Linked DNA regions of Macaca fascicularis. The protein of the gene in region 1 binds, or shares a complex with, the protein of each later gene. Links are inferred from orthologs where the notes say so. Each region holds a gene or a part of one and is shown on either strand. Other genes may lie near its edges. The genes, in order: AGT, REN, ANPEP and DPP3.

What was found.
Region 2: the proteins of AGT (region 1) and REN are in contact, whole or in part, in a crystal structure (PDB 6I3F), measured with the Homo sapiens proteins. The link is inferred for Macaca fascicularis from reciprocal best matches to the Homo sapiens genes AGT and REN. Residues at the interface, in NP_001369746.2 of Homo sapiens: Asp25, Tyr28, Ile29, His30, Pro31, Phe32, His33, Leu34, Val35, Ile36, His37, Asn38, Glu39, Lys91, Leu92, Ala95, Met96, Met99, Leu100, Phe103, Arg107, Arg148, Ala151, Ile152, Gly154, Gln353, Gln354, Asn355, Asn358, Glu391; in NP_000528.1 of Homo sapiens: Tyr81, Met82, Thr84, Gln85, Val102, Asp104, Gly106, Ser107, Asn109, Ser118, Arg119, Leu120, Tyr121, Thr122, Val125, Tyr126, Leu147, Arg148, Tyr149, Ser150, Pro181, Ala182, Leu183, Pro184, Met186, Leu187, Ala188, Glu189, Phe190, Val193.
Region 3: the proteins of AGT (region 1) and ANPEP are in contact, whole or in part, in a crystal structure (PDB 4FYS), measured with the Homo sapiens proteins. The link is inferred for Macaca fascicularis from reciprocal best matches to the Homo sapiens genes AGT and ANPEP. Residues at the interface, in NP_001369746.2 of Homo sapiens: Val27, Tyr28, Ile29, His30, Pro31, Phe32; in NP_001141.2 of Homo sapiens: Gln211, Gln213, Ala351, Gly352, Ala353, Met354, Glu355, Arg381, Val385, His388, Glu389, His392, Glu411, Glu418, Asn438, Arg442, Phe472, Tyr477, Ile864, Phe896, Ser897, Asn900, Gln903, Ala904, Arg907.
Region 4: the proteins of AGT (region 1) and DPP3 are in contact, whole or in part, in a crystal structure (PDB 5E2Q), measured with the Homo sapiens proteins. The link is inferred for Macaca fascicularis from reciprocal best matches to the Homo sapiens genes AGT and DPP3. Residues at the interface, in NP_001369746.2 of Homo sapiens: Asp25, Arg26, Val27, Tyr28, Ile29, His30, Pro31, Phe32; in NP_005691.2 of Homo sapiens: Phe109, Glu316, Tyr318, Glu329, Phe381, Gly385, Ile386, Pro387, Ala388, Gly389, Ile390, Asn391, Ile392, Asn394, Arg399, Val412, Leu413, Val415, Ala416, Phe443, Val447, His450, His455, Glu507, Glu508, Asn545, Arg548, Leu552, Glu555, Phe556.

Annotation. Positions count from the first base shown.
Region 1 is NC_088375.1:18,386,234-18,390,720, forward strand, and holds the start of AGT (angiotensinogen), read left to right. Parts: upstream 1-1,429; 5' UTR 1,430-1,467; exon of another isoform or gene 1,468-3,203; intron 3,204-4,487. UniProt on the Homo sapiens protein: Essential component of the renin-angiotensin system (RAS), a potent regulator of blood pressure, body fluid and electrolyte homeostasis.
Region 2 is NC_088375.1:61,984,660-61,988,660, reverse strand, and holds part of REN (renin precursor), read left to right. Parts: intron 1-288; coding exon 289-439; intron 440-1,013; coding exon 1,014-1,137; intron 1,138-1,782; coding exon 1,783-1,901; intron 1,902-2,878; coding exon 2,879-3,075; intron 3,076-4,001. UniProt on the Homo sapiens protein: Renin is a highly specific endopeptidase, whose only known function is to generate angiotensin I from angiotensinogen in the plasma, initiating a cascade of reactions that produce an elevation of blood pressure and increased sodium retention by the kidney.
Region 3 is NC_088381.1:74,267,543-74,272,153, reverse strand, and holds the start of ANPEP (aminopeptidase N), read left to right. Parts: upstream 1-1,618; 5' UTR 1,619-1,663; coding exon 1,664-2,280; intron 2,281-2,787; coding exon 2,788-2,930; intron 2,931-3,034; coding exon 3,035-3,174; intron 3,175-3,631; coding exon 3,632-3,758; intron 3,759-3,841; coding exon 3,842-3,996; intron 3,997-4,249; coding exon 4,250-4,363; intron 4,364-4,459; coding exon 4,460-4,603; intron 4,604-4,611. UniProt on the Homo sapiens protein: Broad specificity aminopeptidase which plays a role in the final digestion of peptides generated from hydrolysis of proteins by gastric and pancreatic proteases.
Region 4 is NC_088388.1:7,887,368-7,890,822, forward strand, and holds part of DPP3 (dipeptidyl peptidase 3), read right to left. Parts: intron 3,065-3,455; coding exon 2,902-3,064; intron 1-2,901. UniProt on the Homo sapiens protein: Cleaves and degrades bioactive peptides, including angiotensin, Leu-enkephalin and Met-enkephalin. Also cleaves Arg-Arg-beta-naphthylamide (in vitro).

The DNA.
Region 1 (4,487 bases):
ACTGCCAAAAAAAAATCAAGGAGACATTTTATTTACATTTACTGGTTAATTATAAGGAATACAAACGAACAGCCAGAAGAAGAGACACAAAGCGTGAGGTCCACAAGGGTCCTTTTTAAGAGACAGAGTCTCTGTCATCCAGGCTGGAGTGCAGCGGTGTGAGCATAGCTCACTACAGCCTCAAACTTCTGGGCTCAAGTGATCCTCCTGCCCCAGCCTCCCAAGCAGCTAGGACTACCAGTGCATACCACCATATCCAGTTAGTTTTATTTTTTGCACAGATGGGGGTCTTGCTATGTTGCCTAGGCTGGTCTCAAACTCTTGGCCTCAAACTATCTTCCTGCCTCAGTTTTCCAGAGTACTTGGGTTATAAATGTGGGCCACTGCACCTGGCCCCCAATCTTGATGGGGAGCAGGTTTCTGCATGGGTGTCAACCCCAGCTCCTTGAGAGTGCGGCCTGAAGTCCTTGGTCCCGGAGGCTCAGCAGGAAATAGGACAGTGACTGCATAAGCTTGTGAGAACCTGTGGCCAGGCAGCAGCAGCCGTTTGGCCAGGGCTTGTCTCCTGCAGCCCTCTTGCCCAGTACCCGGGCCTGCTTGTATTCCCCCACACGCGCCCCCCATGCTCTCCCTCTTGTTGGTGAGTGTCACTCAAGCCTCTGCCTCAGAAAAGCCCTTCTGCAGCTTCCAAGTCAGACCAGCTCCTCCTCCAGGTGCAGGCCCAGTGATATCTGTCCCTCGCCCCTCGCCAGCTTGCACAGGTGAATGCTTTCTGCATCCTGAAGGCATTTCGTTTGTGTCTTTTAATCTGGCTGTGCTACTGTTGGTGTTTAACAGTCTCCCCAGCTACACTGGAAGCGACCAGAAGGCACTTTTCACTTGCTCGTGTGTTTTTCCCAGTGTCTATTAGAGGCCTTTGCACAGGGTAGGCGCCAAATGGCTGTTGGGAGCAGCTGAAGGTCACACATCCCATGAGCGGGCAGCAGGGTCAGAAGTGGCCCCCGTGTTGCCTGAGCGAGACGCTCCCCTGCCCTCTGCCCTCCGCGCCTCCGGCCTGCATGTCCCCGTGGCCTCTTAGGGGCACATCCCAGGGCTGGGTCAGGAGGTCTGGGCGGTTGGCCTTAAGCTGTCACACACCCAGGGAGATGCTGCTGTTTCTGGGAACCTTGGCCCCCACTCCTGCAAACTTCGGTAAATGTGTAACTCGACCCTGCACCGGCTCACTCTGTTCAGCAGTGAAACTGTGCATCGATCACTAAGACTTCCTGGAAGGGGTCCCAGCGTGAGTGTCCCTTCTGGCGTCTGTCTTTCTGGCCAGCCTGTGGTCTGGCCACATGATGTAACCCCCCTCCAGCCTGTGCACAGGCAGCCTGGGAACGGCTCCATCCCCACCCCTCAGATATAAATAGGGCCTCATGACGCGGCCAGGGGAAGAAGCTGCCATTGTTCTGGGTACTACAGCAGAAGGTAAGCCGGGGGCCCCCTCAGCTCCTTCTCAGCCTTGTCCCTCTCAGACGTAACTGAGCTGTGGGCCGGGAGGAAAAGGCCGGGAGGGGCACTGGTGATGGCTGAAGCATCTCTCCCCTCCCATAAGACCAGTCATCTGGACGCAGGCTTTCTCCGCTCAGTGCCCACCCAGGGGTCTCCCAGGAGGAGCTGCTCCTCCTTAGCAATAGGACCAGATGGTCAGGTCTTCCTGCTTCGGCTGAGAAGAGTTAGGGTCCTCAGGGATGGAGCAGAGTCATCATGGTCAAGAGTCCACCAGGTCCTCTTGCCATCAGGAGGAACAGCAGGGCTTGTACAGGAAGTGGGGCCACAGGGAAGGGCTGGGCCCGGTCAGTCCCCAGCTGGGATCCCCAGAGTGGTCACCCTACCCCTCCCTCGAGACAGATTCCCTGACTGTGTCATCAGGCTGGTCACCATCTCTCTGAACCTCGATTTGCTCACCTATAAAATGGGACTAGTAACGATGCCTGGGCTCCCTCTCTCAGGGGCTGTGGTGCAGCTGAAGAGAACTAATACAACATGAAAGTACTTTCTAAGCTTTGGGATAAGCTAAAAGGCAGATTCCAATTTCATTCAAGGGCAGCGTAGATTGGTGCTTAAACTTGTGGATGACAGAGTCAGAGGGCCTGGTTCTGAGTCCTAGTTCTGTCTCTTCCCAGCTGTGTGACTTTGCACAAGTCACTGGACCTCTTTGTTCCTCTGGAAAAGAGCAGGAACCAATTCATTAACTACTTCTCCAGGATGCATTAGGTCCCGGGGACTGTCCTGGGAATGTGGGCTGTATTAGGAAACATAGCAGCAGGAACCCTGCTCCGGGGCTCACATTCACGTCAGGGCAAACAGACAAAGACGCTGGACAGCACAAGTGCGTAACTACATGGTACAGGGGTTATAAGGAGGGAAAAGGGGAGCCAGATGAGAGAGTTGAGAGTGCCCGGTGTGGTGGGGAAAGCTGCAGGGTGAAATACGGCACCAAGGAAACCTCAGGGAAGGTGAGGACTATGATGAGGTCAGAGGGGTTGATATAAGAACGATGCCCTGCAAATGACAGGCACCACGGGAGCGTGAGCCGTCATCTTCACCTGTAGCATTCAGCCTGGGGGAAGTAGGGAGACATAGAAGGGGCAGGTGCTGGCAAAGAGGCAGGGGCAGGAGGGGAGAAGGCGGAGGGGCGCTCCAGGCAAGGGTGTCAGGCCCGCCACCCCAGAGCACCATTACTCCCAGGACGCGGCTGCGTGCAGACCTGGAAACAGCCTAGGGAGCAGCCACAGATCACAACTGAGAACAAACGACAGTCTCTGCCTTAAAAATGGCCCAAGGAATTGCGTCTCTGGAGATGGTACCTGCGCAGGAGCAGCACAGTGAGTGGGCTGCACCGACCAGCGCCATCCAAACCCCGAACAGGTGGCGCTTGTCAGGCAGGACTTCCCAGCAGTCGGTTCCCACAGGTTTCCCCTGACGACCTGATGTGATGTGACTGTCTAGATTAGGTGAGAACTGGTGGCTCAGGCTTCTCTGCACAGACAGGCCTGCAAGCAGCAGGGAGAGTTTTCTGTTCTGTTTTTCCATGTCGTGAGGCTCTTCCTGAGAACAGCGGATGGAGTCAACGCATGGGGAGTGGGGTGAGGCGGTAGCTGAGGTCAGAAGTCAAAGTCTCTTTGGCATTTGAATGACTGAAGCAGAACGAAACACACCAGGTACTTCAGCAGTTGCACCGTGTTGAGGGCAGGTGCTGGTTACCGGTCTGGGGGGAAGCCAGCTGCTAATGTAAGAAGAATGACTGGGTGTGCTTAGGTGAGGCAGAAAAATCTAGGCATCAAGGTGGCCTCGAGTCAGTGATGACCTGCTACAGCTCCAAGGAAGCCTGGCGTAGCCCTGGGGGGACAGAAAAGGCTAAGCAGTGACGATATTGCAGTACACCCCCTCCACAAGAAATGAGTGAGATGTGGTACAAACTGTTAGAATTGAATGAATCAATAGAATCAACGTTCATCCCGTCAATCAGGAAGAGTCAGATGAAATGAATTAGCAGGGCCAGCCCAAGAACCTTGTCTTCTGGGGTCTCGGGGTAGTCTTCATTTGCAGCAGCTGAGGCTGAAGCCCAGTGGCAAGGCCTTTGAGAGAACATGGTGCCGGACCCGTGTCTAAGGCAGGGGTTCTAAACCCTGCTTACATATCAGAGCCACCTGAGAAATTTTTTTTTTTTTAATTTTTATTTTTTTAATCTAAGGAATCCAAGTATCAGTGGGCAAACCATGCTAGGTGTGCATGCCTTTGGGGCTCTGCAGGGGATAGCACTATGGAGGGATGGTTGAGAGCTGGTTTTGGGGTTGAGACACGTGGAAAAATACTTGGGCTTTGGGTTGAGCCTGTGGTGCTCAATCCTGGCTGCATATTAGGACCACAAGGAGATGAGAAAACCATTCCCAACCCTCACCCTAGGGCCCTTGAATGAGCATCTCAGGGGTCTAGGAGGCCTCCGCAAAGACCTACTGATTGGCACGTATGTGTTTTTCTAGGAGAGAACTTACAGCCGCAGGCAGGAGCATGTCTTAGTGTGCTTGGGCTGCCATAAGTACCACAGACTGGGAGGCTTCAACAACAGAAATGTATTATCTCACAGTTCTGGAAGCTAGAAGCCCGGGAGCAAGCCATCGGCAGAGTTGGTTTCCTCTGGGGCCTCTATCCTTGCCTTGTAGATGGCTGTCTTCTCTCTCTGTCCTCACATGGTCTTCCCTCTGTGTGTGTCCATGTCCTCATCTCCCCTTCTCATAAGGACACAGGTCATATTAGATCAGGGCTCACTCTCATGGCCTCATTTTAACTTAATCATCTCTTTAAAGATTCTGTCTCCAAATAATGGTCACATTCTGAGGTCCTGGGGTTGAGGACTTCAACATATGCATTGTGGCCATTGGGGGAGTTAGGACATGATTCAGCCTATATTGGTGCATTTTGCACTTGGATCATGTAGATATTTT
Region 2 (4,001 bases), about 44 Mb from region 1:
ATGAACGGACCAATAAACAAACAGCCTTGTCTAATTAAAATTAGGCAACAGAAGGAAGTCACTTCAGGGTTATTTAATCCGCGGGCAGCTGACTCCTCTAAATTGACTCTTGACAAGAGGTAACTCTTATAAATGCTCCAGAGGCCTTCAGGGACAGAGGTGATTTCCAGGTGGCTGGGCTAACATTAAAGGTGGTTGTACTAAAAGCAGGGATTTGGCCTCAGGGACTCTACCGTTATGGTGGGGGTACAGCACTTTTCTATTTTTGCTTCCTCCACCATGAGCCAGGATCTTCCTCAAGAGGATGCCCTCAATCCGAGAAAGCCTGAAGGAACGAGGTGTGGACATGGCCAGACTTGGTCCCGAGTGGAGCCAGCCCATGAAGAGGCTGGCCCTTGGCAACACCACCTCCTCCGTGATCCTCACCAACTACATGGATGTGAGTGCCTGGCCCAGCCCCTCGCTCCCTCCTTCCCTGTCTCCTTTCCCCCACGGACCTAGGGCTTTCTTTGCCACAAGACTCTCCCTTCCTATGCTGTGTTTGACGAAGGCGCTGAGGAACATTCCCATTTTCTGGTTGGAAAGCCTGAGCACAGAAGACAGGAAAGCACTCAGGGGCCATTCAGGGGCAGGGTTAGGTTTGGAACTCAGCCCAGGCCTTAAGCCAGGTGTCACAGGTGGGTGGGAAGGGGTGTGTGACTCAGGTGGGGGTTTCTGTGACCTGGTCCAGCACAGTCTGACGGCTTCCTGCCCCAGTAGATTCTCAAGGGTCAAGTTCGCATCCTGCTTCATTCTCAATGTTTTGATTTCGCCATTTTGTCTTACTGAGATTCCCACTTTCTGGGATGCCATGGGGCGATGCTAAGCCTCCTACCAGTTCCTGCAGGACAGCAGAAACCCCGAGAGGCTATAGGACCTCACCTGGGCGAAATCTTACCCTGACAGCCAAGAGTGAAGCCAGACAAGACCCCAAGACCCTGAGCCCCTCCAGCCCTCTCTTTTTACCCCCACAGACCCAGTACTATGGCGAGATTGGCATCGGCACCCCACCCCAGACCTTCAAAGTTGTCTTTGACACTGGTTCGTCCAACGTTTGGGTGCCCTCCTCCAAGTGCAGCCGTCTCTACACTGCCTGTGGTGAGATCTAAGACCCACAGTGCCTCTCCCCAATCCCCCTGCCCTACTGTGCATGAGCAATCCTGCCCCACACCTAGCTCCCATCCCTCTTGCCACCAAGGGAGTGCCTTCCTCTCTGCCTCTGTACCCACTGACCCTGACACTTAAGGGAGAGAGGAAGATGTCTCCCATTTTTCTGATATAGCCACCAAGGTTTTTTTTAAAAAAAAAAAAAAAAGAAAGCTCCAAGAATCCCTGACCACCCAGAAGGCTACTTCCCAGTCTTCCTGAGATTGAGACAGGACTGAATTCTCAAACCCATCCCAGGCACTCGGAACTCTTCCATCCCTAGTCTTAATCAACAACCTCTTACTGGGCACTTACTCTGTGCCCAGCATCTTCTCTGGTGTTATCAGTGTTAGTGATTACTTTACATTCCTTCATTTAGGACAAAATTATCGAGGTATGGGCACGTTAGGGGGGCCCAAGAAACCCAGTCCTTGATTGATGAAGCACATATTCCAAGCCTCCTGACCCTAGAGTCACTCGTCCCTGTACCTAAGCTAAGTCCTAAGCCACACCAGCCATACCCACAATGCACCCTGCCTCTGAGTCCCCCTGTCTGGGCCACTCTTGGACAAACCTAAGCCTCTGTCCCCCTGCCAGTGTATCACAAGCTCTTCGATGCTTCGGATTCCTCCAGCTACAAGCACAATGGAACGGAACTCACCCTCCGCTATTCAACAGGGACAGTCAGTGGCTTTCTGAGCCAGGACATCATCACCGTAAGTGGGGTTGCCCTAGGTCATCTGCTCCCAAACCCTTCTGTCCCCAGGCCTCTCCTGACCCTCCAGGGGCCATACCTGCGGGGAGGTGCACTGCAGCCCACTTGGAGCCTGGGGAGCTGAGGAGCACCCTGCTCTGCCACATCTGGCTGTTGCTGCAAAGCAGCAGTACCTATGGGGGAGCAAGCTTGGGCTACGGGCTTAACTGTTGGGTGGTTTATGGACGTTTTTGCATCTGACTTGCACGTAGGGTTGTCGTGAGCCCCATGGCTGCAGTCAAGTAACTTGCCCAAGTTCACCAGCTCTGACTGGGCTACACCCTAGACTAAAATCCAGGGTCAGGGTCAGGCTGAGTTTTAGGGTAAGGCATAGGTTTTAAGGTCACAGTTGAGGTTGACTCTGGGATTCAGGTCAAGTCCTGCTTTTTTTTTTATTTGGCCCATGTCTGACCCTTTCCTCATTCTGGAGTTTCTCAGGCCCTGCTCCATCAGAGTTAGGGGAGGGGCACACATGGGGCCTGACAGAAAATCAGGGTGATTCCTGCCTCCCTCCCTTTTTCTGTGAACTCAGATATAAAGAAGGGAGAAGGGCAAGGTTGGCTGTGCTGAAGAAACCCTTGCCCATGATAAGCGTGGGGGCCAAGACCTAGTCCTGCCGGGCACGAAAGGCGGGCCACTGGGGAGGGGGAGGCGCTCTTGGCAGCTTTCCTTTTGCTGCTTGGCAGGACCACCCTCTCAGCCTCTGCTGTCCAATCCCTGGTCAACTCCAGCTCTCTCTCGGCTCTGTGGCACAGACGTATTGGCATACACATTGGCGTACACAGAGTGTGTGCATGCAGAGTTGAGGAAACACTCTTACCCCAAATTCTGTACCCTGAAGCCTGTGTGGCCCTGGGATCCCTAGTGTGGAAGCCCAGACCAGACTCCAGCCAAGGAGCAGGCAGTGGGCTTGGTCTCCTCTGGTCCTTCCTCCCACAGGTGGGTGGAATCACAGTGACACAGATGTTTGGAGAGGTCACGGAGATGCCTGCCTTACCCTTCATGCTGGCCGAGTTTGATGGGGTTGTGGGCATGGGCTTCATTGAACAGGCCATTGGCAGGGTCACCCCTATCTTCGACAACATCCTCTCCCAAGGGGTGCTAAAAGAGGACGTCTTCTCTTTCTACTACAACAGGTGGGGACTGGGACTCCAGGGGCTGAGGTGGGGGGAGAGGAGGGGAGAAGAGCTGGGGAGTGGAAGGAGAGCCTGGGCCAGAATTGTTAAGCGTTTGTGATTAGATGACCGTCAATCAATATCTAGAGCTGTACTAGCCAATGTGGAAGGCACCATTGAAATTTAAATTAATTCAATACAGTTAAGCATCAATTAAGCATTCAACTGGTGGCTCTTAGTTGCACTAGCCACATGTCAAATGTCTGGCAGCCGCGGTGGCTAGTAACTACGGTTTTGGACAGTGCAGATAGAGAACATTCCCAGCTTGGCAGGACATTCTAATGGACAGTACCACTCTGGAGCAAGAGGAGATGCAAGGTGGGGATGATGGGAAATAAGGGATTACTGTGACCTGGAGCCCTGCCTGTGAGGGCCATGGCTCCTCCCACACAGAGACAGCCAACTTCAGTCATCCATTAGATCCTTCATTTGTTTGCCCACTCATCAGTTCAGTAAATGCTATGTGCCAAGCACTGTGCGAGGCTCTGGGGGTGCAGCAGTGAACACAGTGAACAAGGCAGAATCTGTACTCCCCTACCCACATAGAGCTTACAGGCTAACAGGGAAGACAAGACATATTCCAATGTAATGAGTGTCACAGGCAGGCAGCGAGTGTGGTGCTGAAAACCATGGATGCTTTTCAATTCTAGGCTGAGCTTATGTGCAGCTCAGCCAGCGTTGGGGAAGCTGTTGTCAGCTCTTGAGCAGGGTTGGGCTCTACTCCAAACTGCTGGACTCAGAAAGATGGCATGAGTTGGAGACAAGAGAGCTGGAGGCAAAAGGGGCCAGGTGCAGTGGCTCATGCCTGTAATCCCAGTACTTCGGGAGGCCAAGGCAAGAGGATCGCTTGAGCCCAGGAGTTAAGGCTGCAGTGAACAGTGATTATG
Region 3 (4,611 bases), on another chromosome or scaffold:
CCAAGGCAATAGGGGAGAGAAGATCCAGGCAGAGGGAACAGATGTGCCAAGGCCCTGGAGCTTGATGAAGGCCAGAGTGGCTAGGGCACTGCAACAGAGGGGAAGAGGCCAGGAAATGGGCAGGCTGATTGTACCCAGGCTTGTGGGTTCCTTTAGAAGGTCTGGTCTGGACTCTACAAGGAGAAGGAAGGTTTTTTAGCAGTGGCATAAAATGATCCAATTTGTGTTGAGCAGGTTCAAGCAGGCCCAAATGGAGGCAGGGAGTCCATAAGGGCCCTGCTGTGTCCACATAAATGATGAGAATGGCTTTGACAAGTGCATCTTGCGATGGGGGAATGTGAGTAAATTGGATGTGGAATGAGGTCAGGCGGTGTCGAGGTCTGAGAAACTGGGCTGGTGGATGGGGAAAGTGACAATGAACATAATTTTCCTGTAAGGTGTGTATTTTATTGAGTATGGTAAGCAATATCTTCATTTCTACCAAGGATAGAAAGAGGCAATCATTGAGCTTTGGGTAAAAAAGAAGGGAATGATTTTTTTTTTTTCTTTTGAGTCGGAGTCTCGCTCTGTTACCCAGGCTGGAGTGCAGTGGTGCGATCTCAGCTCACTGCAACCTCTGCCTCCTGGATTCAAGCAATTCTCTGCCTCGGCCTCCTGAGTAGCTAGGAATACAGGCGCTTGCCACCACGCCCAGCTAATTTTTTTGTATTTTTAGTAGAGATGGGGTTTCACCATGTTGGCCAGCCTGGTCTTGAACTCCTAACCTCGTGATCCACCCACCTCAGCCTCCCAAAGTGCTGGGATTACAGGCATGAGCCACCGCGCCCAGCCGGGAATGATTTTTAATCATTATACTATTTGGTGTTTAATGTGTTTTCTCATTAAATCTGTTCAACAAACCTGAGAGGCAAATACTGTTATTTATTTATGAGGAGAGAGGTTCAGAAGGGTAAAGTTACCTGCTCAAGGTCACAGCTGGAAAGAGATGAAGCCTTCAGCAAAAAAGCAAAACAACTCAATTCATTTTATTCCGTGAGCTGATAATGGAGGAAAAAGTATTTGGCAAGAAGGGGCAGGGAGGGGAACCTGGAGGAACTCCGTGCTCTTGAAGAATGAAAGGGAGGCTGGGACCTTGTCACTGAGGAGCTCCTGGCATCCTTCCAGAGATACAACCAAAGGGGTGACCCCAGTGTGTTCTTAATAGGAGCCAGGAACCCTTCTCTGTGCACCTCCCATCTCTCGCCTCTGGGAAGTCCTTTCCTGACTCTAACCTCAGTTCTGATGCTGTTCCCACCCTCTCAGCTCTCAAGCAGATCAATGCAATGCCACCTGGCCACTTGCTCTGCCTGCTGGGCCCTTAGCCGGCAGCCTGCCCTTCAGCCCTCAGGCCTGATCCCAGGCTGCCTGCAGCCTGTAACCAGACACTGTTTGCTTCCAGCAGGCACCCCCAAGCCCAGCTCTACACACTGTTCCTGGATCTTCTCTCCCCAGGCAGAGTGTGCCCCTGCCCAGTCCAGTGACCTTCGCCTGTTGGAGCCCTGGTTAATTTTTGCCCAGTCTGCCTGTTGTGGGGCTCCTCCCCTTCAGGGATATAAGCCCAGCCTGGGGCTGCTCCGTTCTCCGCCTGGCCTGAGGCTCCCTGAGCCGCCTCCCCACCATCACCATGGCCAAGGGCTTCTACATTTCCAAGTCCCTGGGCATCCTGGGGATCCTCCTGGGCGTGGCGGCCGTGTGCACGATCATCGCACTGTCAGTGGTGTACTCCCAGGAGAAGAACAAGAATGCCAAGAGCTCCCTCGAGGCCTCCACCACCCCGTCTGCCTCAGCCACCACCAGCAACCCCACCTTGGCCACCACTTTGGACCAAAGCATACTGTGGAACCGTTACCGCCTCCCCAACACGCTGAAACCCGATTCCTACCAGGTGACGCTGAGGCCGTACCTCACCCCCGATGACAGGGGCCTATACATTTTTAAGGGCTCCAGTACCGTCCGTTTCACCTGCAAGGAGGCCACCGACGTCATCATCATCCACAGCAAGAAGCTCAACTACACCCTCAGCCAGGGGCACAGGGTGGTCCTGCGTGGAGTGGGAGGCTCCCAGCCCCCCGACATCGACAGAACCGAGCTGGTGGAGCCCACTGAGTACCTGGTGGTGCACCTCAGGGGCTCCCTGGTGAAGGACAGCCAATATGAGATGGACAGTGAGTTTGAGGGGGAGTTGGCAGATGACCTGAAGGGCTTCTACCGCAGCGAGTACATGGAGGGCGATGTCAAAAAGTGAGTGTCGGCTGGGCTACCCGGTGGGGTGGATCCGAGGTGCCGAGGCAAGGCTGGATTCTGAGGGCCAAGGAAGGACTTAACTTGCAGGCCTTTGAACCCTGTGGAGCCCGAGGCTGGCCCATTGCTTCACCTCCAGCTGCTGGCAGAGCAGCTGCCAACACACCAAACTGGGAGGGCTTCCCCACCCCTCACCAGGAAGCTGGGGATGAGGGACGGAATGTCCCTTGGACAGGCAGGAAAACTGAGGCTCAGAGGAGAGAAACTCACCAGAGGTCCCTGAGAGCCTGCTGGCACCCCAAATCCAGAAGGAGCCCCAACCCCCACCAGTCAGCTGGCTTGGCAGGGCTCTGGAGGCTCCCAGGGGAGGCGGGAGCGGGAGCAGGAGAAGGGGTTAGGCTGGGGCAGCCTTCCATGTACCCCTTTCCCTGCATGACTGGTAGCATCCTCAGATCCCCTCCCATACCCTCAGCCCTGGCATACCCTCTAACTTTTTGGTTGGGGCAGGGTGGTGGCCACAACACAGATGGAGGCCCCAGATGCCCGGAAGTCCTTCCCATGCTTTGATGAACCGGCCATGAAGGCCGAGTTCAACATCACGCTTATCCACCCCAAGGACCTCACAGCCCTGTCCAACATGCTTCCCAAAGGTGAGTGGGCCCTGCCTGAGGCCACACGGCCAGGGGGCAGGCACGCTGGGGCTGGGGTATGGGGCAGGAGGGTGCATCCTCACACACGCATGCTCTGTGCCCAGGTCCCAGCACCCCACTTCCAGAAGACCCCAACTGGAGTGTCACCGAGTTCCACACCACGCCCAAGATGTCCACGTACTTGCTGGCCTTCATTGTCAGCGAGTTCACCTACGTGGAGACGCAGGCATCCAATGATGTCTTGGTATGAGGCTGGGCCCATCTCTCCTTCACCTGGGCTGGCCCTGGCTTGAGGGGTCTTCCTGTTCTCTTCATCCCTGTACCAATTTCTGAATCGTTAGGCCAGGGTTTGAATCCCAGCTCTGAGTGATTTCGGGCAAGTGTCTTGTTCTTTGGTTCTCTATTTCTGCACCTGAAAAGTGAAAACAATGGTTTCTCCTCATGAAGGGAGTTCTGACCCGCCAGTACCAGACAGACGGTGGCTATGATAATTGGTATTCTCCAAAGGCCCTTCTCTAGGACCCACAGCTTCCAGGCCCCCCTAGTGTTCCTTCTGCTGACCAGGTCTCTAGGTTTAGCTTGATTGACCCCCAGCCCTGGCCCATCGGGGATCCCCCTGGCCCACTGGGCCCTGGGACCCAGCCCACCTGCCCCAGGATCAAACAGGGGCCCCTGGCCTGCTTCTTCCTCACACCTTGCAGATCCGGATCTGGGCCCGGCCCAGTGCCATTGCGGCGGGTCACGGCGATTATGCTCTGAACGTGACAGGCCCCATCCTTAACTTCTTTGCCAGTCATTATGACACACCCTACCCACTCCCAAAATCAGGTGAGTGGGGGTCCTCGAGGAGGGAGGCAGTGGTTGGAATTCCACTCCCGGAGGCCATCCTGCCAATGGCCTCGCCTCCCCAGACCAGATTGGCCTGCCTGACTTCAACGCCGGCGCCATGGAGAACTGGGGACTGGTGACCTACCGGGAGAACTCCCTGCTGTTCGACCCGCTGTCCTCCTCCAGCAGCAACAAGGAGCGGGTGGTCACTGTGATTGCTCACGAGCTGGCCCACCAGGTAGACCCCCATCTCGGGGAGTGCAGAGAAGGAAACGGGGGCTCCAGGAGGAGATGGTGCAGGTCCAGGCTCCGCCCCAGGCTGCTGAGAAGGGAGGAGGGTGCCGCCTGACAGGGCAGCAGGAAGGGGTCACGATGGGGTTGGTGAAATCCCCACTGTGCCTGGCAGGTGGCCAGCCCTGGGGAGGGTAGTTCTGGGGACTCTCAGTGCCTGGCCTGGGCGTGGCTTGCCCAGCTGACCCCTCCCCCCACAGTGGTTCGGGAACCTGGTGACCATGGAGTGGTGGAATGACCTGTGGCTGAACGAGGGCTTTGCCTCCTACGTGGAGTACCTGGGTGCTGACTATGCAGAGCCCACCTGGAACTTGGTGAGCAGCTGCCCTGGGGTCCAGTCGGGGGGTGTGGAGGGAGACCTGGGCCACCGCTACCAGGCCAGTGTCCTGATGGCCCTGGGGAATTTGCAGAAAGACCTCATGGTGCTGAACGAAGTGTACCGCGTGATGGCCGTGGATGCACTGGCCTCCTCCCACCCACTGTCCACTCCTGCCTCGGAGATCAACACGCCGGCCCAGATCAGTGAGCTGTTTGACTCCATCTCCTACAGCAAGGTGCAGCC
Region 4 (3,455 bases), on another chromosome or scaffold:
TGATGGTACTGTCCATGTGGCTGGCATGATTTGTTAATGCACTCATTTGACAGCCACTGAGCAACTCCAATGTGCCAGGCTGTGCATGAGGCACTGGTGTATGCTGCTCCTCCCATCATGAGATGTGACCACCAAAAAAATGGGCAAGCGTGATGGGCACATGAAGAAAATAAAGCTGGGTGGCAGAATAGAGAGGGACTGAAGCAGTTACTTTAGGTTGAGGGGTCAGAGACAACCTCTCTCACAAGGTGCCATTTTACAAGGAGCTGAAGGACAAAAAGAACCAGACAGGCAAAGATCTGGAGGAAGATCATGCCAAGCAGCAAGAACAGCCTATTTAAAGGCTGTAGGAGTGGAGCGAGCTCAGTGGGTAGAAGAAACAGAAGGGTCGGGAGCCCGGAGTACAGTAAGCCAGAGAAGAGGTGGTGAGGCTGGCAAGGGTTGGGGCTAAATCCCAGGAAGCCTCTGGAGGGCACGGAAAAGCATCTAGAATGAGCGTCTTAATAAATACTTTTTCCAGCCGGGCACGGTGGCTCACGCCTGTAATCCCAGCACTTTGGGAGGCCGAGGAGGGCGGATCACCTGAGGTCAGGAGTTCGAGACCAGCCTGGCCAACATGGCAAAACCCTGTCTCTACTGAAAATACAAAAATTAGCCAGGCATGGCGGCACATGCCTGTAATCCCAGCTACTCAGGAGGCTGAGGCAGGAGAATCGCTTGAACCTGGGAGGCAGAGGTTGCAATGAGCCAAGATTGCGCCATTGCACTCCAGCCTGGGCAACAAGAGGGAAACTCCATCTCAGAAAGAAATAAAATAAAAGCTTTTTCCACTGGGCATGGTGGCTCACACCTGTAATCCCAGCACTTTGGGAGGCCGAGGAGGGTGGATCACTTTGAGCTCAGGAGTTTAAGACCAGCCAGGCCAACATGGAGAAATCCCATCTCTACAAAAAATACAAAACTTAGCCGGGTGTGTAATGCCAGATGCTCGGGAGGCTGAGGCTACAGAATTACTTGAGCCCCGGAAGCAGAGGATGCAGTGAGCCAAGGTCACACCACTGTACTCCAGCCTGGGTGACAGAGTGAGACCCTGTCTCAAAAAATAAATAAATAAACAAAATTAAAAATAAAAAAATAAGGCCGGGTACGGTGGCTCACGCCTATAATCCCAGCACTTTGTGAGGCCAAGGTGGGAGGATCACTTGAGGTCAGGAGTTCAAGATCAGCCTAGCCAACATTGTAAAACTCCGTCTCTACTTAAAAAAAAAAATTAGCAGCCAGGTGCGGTAGCTCACGCCTGTAATCCCAGCACTTTGGGAGGCCGAGGTGAGCGGATCACGAGGTCAGGAGATTGAGACCATCCTGGCTAACACGGTGAAACCCCGTCTCTACTAAAAACACAAAAAATTAGGTGGGCACGGTGGCGGGTGCCTGTAGTCCCAGCTACTCGGGAGGCTGAGCCAGGAGAATGGCATGAACCCGGGAGGCAGAGGTTGCAGTGAGCGGAGATCGTGCCACTGCACTCCAGCCTAGGCGACAGAGCGAGACTCCGTCTCAAAAAAAAAAAAAAAAAAAAAAAATTAGCTGGGTGTGGTGGCAGGCACCTGTTATCCCAGCTACTCGGAAGGCTGAGGCAGGAGAATCACTTGAACTCAGAGGCGGAGGCTGCAGTGAACCGAGATTGCGCCACTACACTCCAGCCTGGGAGACAGAGTGAGACTCCATCTCAAAAAAAAAAAAAAAAACCCACCCAAAAAACAAATAAATAAATGCTTTTTCCTCACCAATAATAGGTAATGACTTTTTACAAATATTATTCTATTTAACCCTCAGAACTGCCCAGGACAATGCTTTTTTTTTTTTTTTTTTGAAGAGCTGAGGTCTTGCTCTGCAGTCTTGAACTCCTAGGCTCAAGCGATCCTCCCACCTCACCCTTTCAAGTAGCTGGGACTACAGGCAGGGGCCACCATGCCTGACTCAACCACTCTTAATTTGACTCTTGGCTTCTCCACTAAAAAGGCATAAGCCTTGTGCAAATTACTCAAATTACTCTCTGTGCCTCAGTTTCCTTACCTGTAAAATGGGGATAACAAAAATACCTACCTTATTGGGCTACTGTATGGATTTAAAAGGTTAATCCCCAGAAAGCACTTAGAAACTCTAAGAAGGAATTCAGGTTCACTATAATATCAGCAAGCGGTCCACAATGGCTTTGTGAATGAAGACACCAAAGTCTAGAAAGGTCAAATGACTAGGCCAAGGTCAGAGGGCGGTTCTGAAGCTGGTGCTCTAACCACTCCATAACACCACATCATCTTAGGTGTCTCAAGTGACAAACAGCAGGAAAGATGAATCAAGGGGTGAGAGGAAAGTGAAGGCAGTCAGGGGCTGGGTCCCCAGGGGGTTTGAATTCAAAAGATATAAGCACCTTGTGGCCAGGGCGAGGCTCCGGAATTGTCGCTTGAGAAGGAAGAGGGATGATGCAGCTGTTGATCACCATCCCAGATGCGACCAAGTCACACTGTCCACTGGGTTTCACTAGGCTTGCTGGGTCCCAGCTCCCTCCTGACCTGACCCCCAGCCTGGGTACCCAACAGGTCTAATCCTTTGGTACAAATGCCTGGCTTCCCCCTAAGTCTGCATGTTCTGCTATCCCCTGCTCTGGTGGTATTCTTCAAATCTTCTGTCACTGTCTTAGAACTCGCATGACTGTGTGTGTGTCGGGGGGGTGGTGGGTGGTGACCGATACCAAGATTAGGGCCTGAGGTTTGGCACGGGAAGGACCCTGGCAGAAAGGGAAGGGCCATCCCAGGCTGCTCTCCCTGAGCCCTGGGATGGGTTCTTATTGCTTCCCAGAGGGCCCTGTGTGGTGCTCATTAAGGGAGCTCAAGAGTCCATTACCTTCAAGGCGAGTGTTGGGCTGAACGATGAGCTTCCGAGATTCCTTACGCAGCAGCACCGTGTCCCTGAGGGTGAGGAAGCACTCCGGGGGCACATCAGTGACTGCCGCATACCCCTCGTACAGGGCCCGCCCTCCGGCCACATCCCCTGTGGACTTCAGCACCTGTGGGAAGGATGGAGTAAATGTCTAGGATGGGCACTTACCCGGTGTCCACAGGGCTCTGCCACAGGCCACAGCTGATTGTGGTCAGCCCTGGACAGTCTGTGCTATGGTTTGAATGTGTCCCCTCCAAAATTCCGCTGTTGAAACTTATGGTTAAGTTTCAACTTAACCATTAAGGCTCCTTCCTCACAAATGGGATTAAGGCCCTTATAAAAGAGACTTTAAACTGGGTGTGGTGGCTCACATCTGTAATCTTAGTACCTTGGGAGGAGGAGGCAGGGGATCACTTGAGCCCAGGAGTTTGAGACCAGCCTGGACAATGTGGCAAGACCCTATCTCTATGGAAAAAGTAAATAAATAAATAAAAGGCCAGCCATGGTGGCTCATGCCT